2 linked regions of the Canis lupus familiaris genome follow. The protein of the gene in region 2 interacts with the protein of the main gene of each other region in a pairwise test. Links are inferred from orthologs where the notes say so. Each region holds a gene or a part of one and is shown on either strand. Other genes may lie near its edges.

Evidence for each region.
Region 1: the proteins of POC5 (region 2) and CETN1 interact in binary tests that used the Homo sapiens proteins (3 or more experiments, as listed by UniProt). The link is inferred for Canis lupus familiaris from reciprocal best matches to the Homo sapiens genes POC5 and CETN1.

The regions. Positions count from the first base shown.
Region 1 is NC_049228.1:67,485,498-67,488,561, reverse strand, and holds CETN1 (centrin-1), read right to left. Parts: upstream 1,408-3,064; 5' UTR 1,352-1,407; coding exon 833-1,351; 3' UTR 658-832; downstream 1-657. UniProt on the Homo sapiens protein: Plays a fundamental role in microtubule-organizing center structure and function. Plays a role in sperm cilia formation.
Region 2 is NC_049224.1:30,915,576-30,919,951, forward strand, and holds the start of POC5 (centrosomal protein POC5), read left to right. Parts: upstream 1-1,262; 5' UTR 1,263-1,281; intron 1,282-1,350; exon of another isoform or gene 1,351-1,721; intron 1,722-1,819; exon of another isoform or gene 1,820-1,975; intron 1,976-4,376. UniProt on the Homo sapiens protein: Essential for the assembly of the distal half of centrioles, required for centriole elongation. Acts as a negative regulator of centriole elongation.

The sequences.
Region 1 (3,064 bases), on a different chromosome or scaffold from region 2:
GTAACTAAAATGCTAGCTGATCTTTCCAAAGACAGATGAGTGGCTTAAAATGTATTATTTTACAATTTACTAAACTAAGATCTTATATTTGTAAATATTTACTCAAAATCATTAGTTAGCTTAATCTCTTAAGGAAACTATGCCTTGCTTGGGCCATTATTAAATTTTATTCTGTAGCCCAGGTATACATCTGGCTCTGGATAATACATAGCACATAATTTATGCACAATTGAAGAATCATCTGCTAGTGATGAAGTCAGAGAATAGTCAAAACTACATAATTTACCACCACCCAACTGCAAGCTTATGCTTTACAACACTACCTTTCCTGAGCCCGATAACTGGCTGCACAGTTCTCCTTCAAACCAACATTCGGTTAAATGAAAAGTAATGGCTAGGATGACCCACTGGCCAATTCGACCTCATCATGCTGAATTTAGGGCATACTAAGTGAAGCAAAATAATATAAGGCCACCAAAGAAGTGACAAGGGAATCGCATGGCTGTTTGTCCCAAGAAGCCAGGCTACCTTCCTTCAGTTCAACGGTTGTCCACCAAAGCGGGGCACAAGGTGAGCCAGGAACTGAAGCGACAGGACTCTTTATTCAACCTAAAGCACTCCAGGTCTGCTTTCGAGAATCAAAAACCAAAACTCACATTAAAAGCATCTTTAAAATTCTATAATTGAGCCAGAAATTTGGAAATAGAAGTATCTAGACAAACTGGGGGGTAAGAGGATAGCAAGTCCTCTAACTCAAGAGCTCACAAAACGGAAGCAGGGAACTCGGCAAGCCAGACGACTTCTCCCCACGGGCTTGCGGAGGAAAGCGACTTTAATACAAGTTGGTTTTTTTCATGATCCGAAGAAACTCTTCCTCGTTCACCTCGCCATCTCCATCCCGATCGGCTTCATCTATCATTTCCTGTAGCTCCTCGTCAGTGAGATTTTCCCCTAACTCAACGGCCACGCGCTTTAGGTTTTTGAAAGAGATCTTGCCAGTTTCATCGTCATCAAAGAGCCTGAAAGCCTTCAGGATCTCTTCTTTGGTGTCCTTCTCGGCCATCTTCTGGGTCATCACGCCCAAAAAGTCATTGAAGCTGATTTTCCCCGTGCCCTCCTTGTCTACTTCGGAGATCATCTTCTTCATCTCTTCCTTCCTGGGCTCGAAGCCCAGCGCTCTCATGGCCACCTTCAGCTCCTTCACGTCAATGGTCCCACTTCCGTCGGCATCGAAGAGGTCAAATGCTTCGCGAACTTCTTGCTTCTGATCTTCAGTGAGCTCGGGCTTAGGGCCCACCTTTCTCTTCTGACTGGTAGAGGCCACGTTTGACTTCTTGAAGCCGGAAGCCATCCTCCTCGGGCAGTTGTTCCCTTCAACGGCACCACCGCAGTCACTGCGCTTGCGCAGACGGGACCCCACTTAGAGCGCAGGCGCGACCCCACTTAGAGCGCAGGCGCGGGACCTCCTCGCGCGTCCCAGAGCTTCCCCTTGCGCTCTGCAGGGAGGCCTGGCTCGCTGCCGCCCACCCGCCCACCCGCGCTGTCTGCGAGATCTTATCCATGTTGCACCCCACGGTTCCCTCTATTATCACCCAGTTTCCACGAGCTGAGACGTGGGCTGGCAAGAAGTGCCGGTAGCCACAGTTGCCTTCCACGGTGCATTGCCACTTGCTGTTCTGGCTAGCGCATTTGCAAGCATCCAGAGGGCCAGGTTTATAGTGTTATTTGGAAGTCCTTCTCTTCCTTTTCCATACAAATTAAAATTAACAAACGGACAAGCAAAACAAAAAACCCTCTTGGAGTTAAACAACAACAACAACAGGTCCTCTCTTAGTCTGAGGTTACCTAAAGCTAAATTTAGGATAAGATGGAGCTTGATCCCTTGGCATTAAATGTGGGGAAGAAGGAGAGACGATATTAAGTCACAGCATGTGTTCAACTTGTCATAAATGGAAAACATAAAATGGAAAAGGTTACGTATAAAATTTGTAGAAGTTTGTCTCCTGACATTATGCTCAAAATAGTGAAATTTCATTGGCTGATTCAGCATAGGTTGAAATAAATATGAAATGTATTATTCAAATGTATGATTAACTTTCAGTGTTTCAATCTTACATACTCGATCATAATTACGATCAAATAACAGTCTTCATTTCATTCACTAGGCTTTTCTTTTGGAGGGGGGTTCAAGTACTATTTTCTGGTATTTTTTAAAGACTAGCAGTGTATTACTCTCACTTTGTTATCTTGTGCGTGCTGTGCTGAAACCCCCACTCTGATTGCCCTACTTTGGCAGTGGAACTGGAAGCTTACCTTGCAGTACATGTTGGAACTAGAAATTGCTTCCTGAGAACAAAGGGGCAAGAGAAAATTGGGAGCTTTTTAAGTGAAAAGAAAGGAAAAAGTTATCAAGTAAGCCCATAAAGAAATTGCCTTTAGAATTGTTGTATATTTCTTTAAATGGTTTTCTTTTAAAATCTGACATTTTTAGCATTCTTTCCCCCCTATCAACTTATTATTACTTGATCAGTTACAAAGAAGGCCCTTTCAAAGTTTTTACTGAAGAGTTTTTATATCTCCAGCATCTAGAACAGTGCTTGACACATAGTAGGTAGATTAATAACTGTTTCTTGAGTAAGTGAATGAGAATTACTGTTGATTTTAAAATACTTCTGAATTGTCCAAATAAAAGACACCCCCCCCCCAAAGATTAAATTGTTCTGGGAAAAAAAAATTGTTCTGGGAGTGTTTTTACAAGTTCAGTTTTATTTTAAATTAGTGATCACATGTTGTTTACATCATGTGCCTAACAGCTAGATCTTACTACCTGCCCCAGTTGATATGTGACATAATGGACAGAGGGCCTGAGCATAGGATTTCTAAAAGTCAAGGAAACTTATCTGTGTCTCCTCCCATGTCCTGCTTCCCAGCATTTGTCACATGTCAACTCAGAGTAGACTTTGGCAAGTTGACACTGCCATTGCCCATCTTCCAACACTGCAAATCCTCTGCTTTCTTAACTAGGTCAAAAAGTCTGGGATCTTATTCCAACTCCATGCCTTAT
Region 2 (4,376 bases):
AAGTAAGATCATATTCACAAGTACAAGGGGTTAGGACTTAAATATCGTTTTTTGGAGGACACCATCCAATACATAACTGACATGCAGTTCCCAACAGAGCATACTGAATGATAAGAACATGGACTTGGAGTCTGGACTGCCTCCATTTGAACACCAATTCTGTTCTTATTGGCTGTGTGATCCTAGGCAAGCCACATAAACTCTGTGAGCTTCAGTTTTCATATCTTTAAAACAAGGATGGGTACAGCATCTATATCATAGAGATAATCTGAGAATTAAATGAGTTAATGAATATAATGCCCAGAACATAGTAACATATGTGTCTTTATTAATAAAATAAGTTCTTTACGTGTTCATCTTCAGGTCTCAGCTTAAATAAACTTTCTCAGTCAGGCATTTCCTGCTATCCCTTCTCTTCAAACATAATTCATAATTTTTTATTCACATGTGTGGGGTTTTTTGTTCCTCTTTGATGTGTCCTTTTTCCCAAGAGGGCAGACTGTGTCTATTTTGTTCACCACTCTATTCCTAGCACCAACAAAATGTTTTACATCTGATGAATGTTAGATTATTATTTGTTGAATGAATAATTATGAAGGTTCAAGCTGGCAATTTAATTATGAATTTGCAGGTGTTTGATTCTCTCTTTCTCCATCTCTCCCCCTCTCCCCTTCTCTCAGAATCTTGGGAAAAGAATCAGTTTTAAATTCCTGATATCCATATTAGGTTTGGTCTCTTTCTCTCTGTACCCTCACAGAAGAATGGAGATGATCTACCCAATGTTTTTCTATGAAAATCTACCCCCCAGGACAGAGAAGACAGAGAAGAGCAACATGGGGCCAAGAGGCAGGAGAGAAAGGGGGAAGTCCAGCAGTAAAAATTACAGTGTATGGAGTCATTAGTTGCATTTCAATTCAAAAACATATTTCAACCAGGTATGAATTCATATGCATTAGTAGGAATTTGTTCTATTTATGATAACCACGGGAGAGGGCGGGGGAGAGGAACACAAGCATAGCTCATGCCAAAGAAACTGCTGGCTCCTCTGACTTCATTGTTTGTACACGTAGAAGTCTGGCTCTGCCAACGGGAAGGTAGACGGGGCCCAGGTTATGCCATTTCTATCTACAGAAACTAACAAAACGCAGACACCTCATCCTCCCGTAACAAAGGGAGCCTGAGAACAGCCAGAGCTCATTACTTGGTCCCCAGATGGGGCTCCCCCTTTGCAACCTGGATCCTAACGTGGGCAGCATTACCCAAGGTGGCAGTGAATAGCTGGTAGAGCCAGGATACAATTATGACCCGATTATTCTAAGGTTCATAGTCACTTCGCCAGAAGGGCCTGACCTGAGGTCATTAGTAACACGCCGTCCAGCAGTTTCTTACAGTGTGGTCCGCTGACTCTTCCACCAGAATCACTGGTAGTCCTCGTTAAAAATTCTGATTCCCTGGCGCTAAGACGGAAGGAATTAAGCAGAGGGGTGGGTGTCAGGAATCCGTACTTTTAAAAAGCACCTCCAACGATCCTGTGGCAGGGCATTACGGACAAGAGGATTCTTATGCACAAGGGCCAGCACGGGCTTTGGGGGTCATCGGAGGTCATCAGCGCAGCTGGGCGCCCTCTCACCCAGCCGGGCCCAGGGCCGAGCCGAGAGAGCCCGCGGCTCAGGTCCGCGGGTCCTCATCCGCCCACGGCCCCGCCCCCTGCTGCCGCCGGCGCCGGGGGCGGGGCTCTCCCTCCAGAACCCCGCCCCGCCGGGTGCGTCCCCGGCGGCCAGGGCCCCGCCCCCGAGGCTGCGGCCAATCAAGCGGCAGGTTGCTGAAGCTCGGGGCCAATGAACAGCGCCGTCCTTTGTTCCTGTGGCTGCAACTGTCGGGCTGCTGCCGGGAGCCGCTGCTTCGGCTGCTGTGGCGGCGGTGCCGCGGGACGAGACGCGGAGTGGAGCGTCCGGCTTCGCGGAGAGCCGCGCCGGTGGGTGGCGGAGGCCGTGCGGGGCTGGGGGTGCCGCGGCCCGCGTGTGTTTGCGCCGGGGCTCCTACGCCGCGGAGCCGGCGGTACCGGGGCGGCGGGGGGGCGGTTCCGGCCCGTGAAGACGCAGGGGAGAGGCCCCCGTGGCCGACGCTTTCTTCAGGGAGTGTGATCCGGCCAGGGCCGGTGGAGCCCCCCCGCGCGTCCTCCCCGCCCCCTGCCCCTGCCGCCCCCCCGCGCCTGGTCCCCTGGATGCGGCGGACGCGCGGGGCGGGGGCGGGGGGCGGACGCGTCCCGAGCCGGGGCCTGACCTCCCTGCTCTGCGCTTTCCACCTCGATGTCCTGGTCTCATTTATGTTTCAGGCTGCTGTGATGGACACCTGCTTCATCTTCCGCCGAAATTACTTAGATAGACGTCAGCTACTTCCTTCCATGTTCAGGAGCCCCCAGTTTTCATCTTTCTTCATAAAAACTTGAAGGGCAAGGTGTTCCCCAAGTTTTTATGATGCTTTTCTTTCTGATAATTCTACCACTCTGACTTCCTTTTCTTTCAAATATTTTATTTATTCATGAAAGAGCGAGAAAGGCAGAGACCCAGGCAGAGGGAGAAGCAGGCTCCACGCAGGGAGCCCGACGCGGGACTCGATCCCGGGACTCTGGGATCACGCCCTGAGCCGAAGGCTGCGCTAAACCGCTGAACCATCCGAGCTTCCCCTGACTTCCTTTCCTGTCTTTGCCTTTAAATGTTCCTGTTTCTAGTTTTTTTTTTTTTTTTTTTTTTTTCTGTGCGTGTGTTTCTAGTTTTTAATCTCATTACAGTAGTAGGCCTTTAACTTGATTAGGGCTATAGGCCCCTCTGAACACATTTGAAGCTGAGGATCCTCTTACTAGATGAATACACATGTGCATTTATACTAAAAATACTGCATAATAAGTTGGGTGAATGGACCTCAGAATAAGAACTCTTTCTCACACTCCTCTTCTTGGGTGATCTTTTCCCCCTCCCTTTTTCAGCACTTCCCATTATGCTGCTGATTCCTCTTACTGTACCTCCAGGGCAGAAGAGCTCCCTCATTGCTTAACTCCAGAAAGCAGCATTCACATCGTGGACATAGTCCTTGTTGTGCACTGTAAAGGGTGTATACACAGCTTTACTGCAGTGCCTCACACCCAGCTGGTCTGATTTTGAACCCATTGTCTGCCCTCCCAACCTGCTTATCTTCCTATGATTCTCACCTTGGTGAGTGGCACTACTATCCGTCTGATTGCCCAAGCTAGAAACCTGGAGGCTTTACAAGAAGAGGCTGAGCATGTCATGACTTGTTTGAAACATTTCAATAACTTCTCTAGAGGGAAGCCCACATTTTTTGACTTGACACAATGATCTTCCATACTCTAGCAGCTCCTTACCTTGCCTGTTGCATCCTTAGCCAAGCCTCGCTTTGCACCCTTTGCTTCAGCCATGCAAACTCCTTATGTTCCTGGCCGGCGCACATGCCCCTCTGTGTCTTTGCTTCTGCTGCTCTAATGCCTAGCGTGTCCTTACATCTATCTCTCTTTCAGATCTCAATACCCGGTTCATCTTAATTAAAACATTCTCTGACTCCATTCCCATTTCTTCACCCTCATAATCCCACCCCATGAAAAATAGTTACTCCTTACTCCCTGCTTTGTACTGCTGTTGTTTTGGGGTCTACTAGCTTTTTTTTTTTTTTTTTTCCATTTTGTCATTCATATTCTATGTGTGTCTGGCTATCTCTGCAGATTCTAAAGTTTGTGAGGACAGAACTTCATCTTAATTCCTCACCACTGTTTTATATGTAACTCCTGTTCAGGGAATTTGAATAGTCACTACTTGTCTTTTTTTTTTTTTTAAGATTTATTTATTTTAGAGAGTGAGTGCATGTGTGTGCAAACAGATAGCGGGAGGGGCAGAAAGAAGGGGGGGGGGAGAGAATCTCTAGCAGACTCCACACTGAGCGCAGAGCCCACATGGGGCTTAGTCCCAGGACATGAGATCATGACCTGGGCCAAAATCAAAAATCAGATGCCCAACTGACTGAGCCTCCCGGGCTCCCTACTACTTGCCCTTTAAATTTATTTACTTGTTATTAAAAATACTTGTTTTATTTTTTTGGTTAAGACTTTTAACAATTTTTCTATGGTGTATAAGAATCTTTCGTTCTGTATAGTCTTGCTTTTCTTAAAATAATATTCCCAAATGGTAAGTTTCCTTAAGCAGAGAATTTGCCTACATTGTTCATTCTCTCTCGGTTCAGTATCTTATAGGACAACGAACAGCATACAGGTTGCCACACATTGCTGAGGAACATTGGTCGCAGTCTATTCTCAACAGACCCCATTGTGGATGTGTCTGAGGAGCTTCCATTTCTCTTTAACGTTT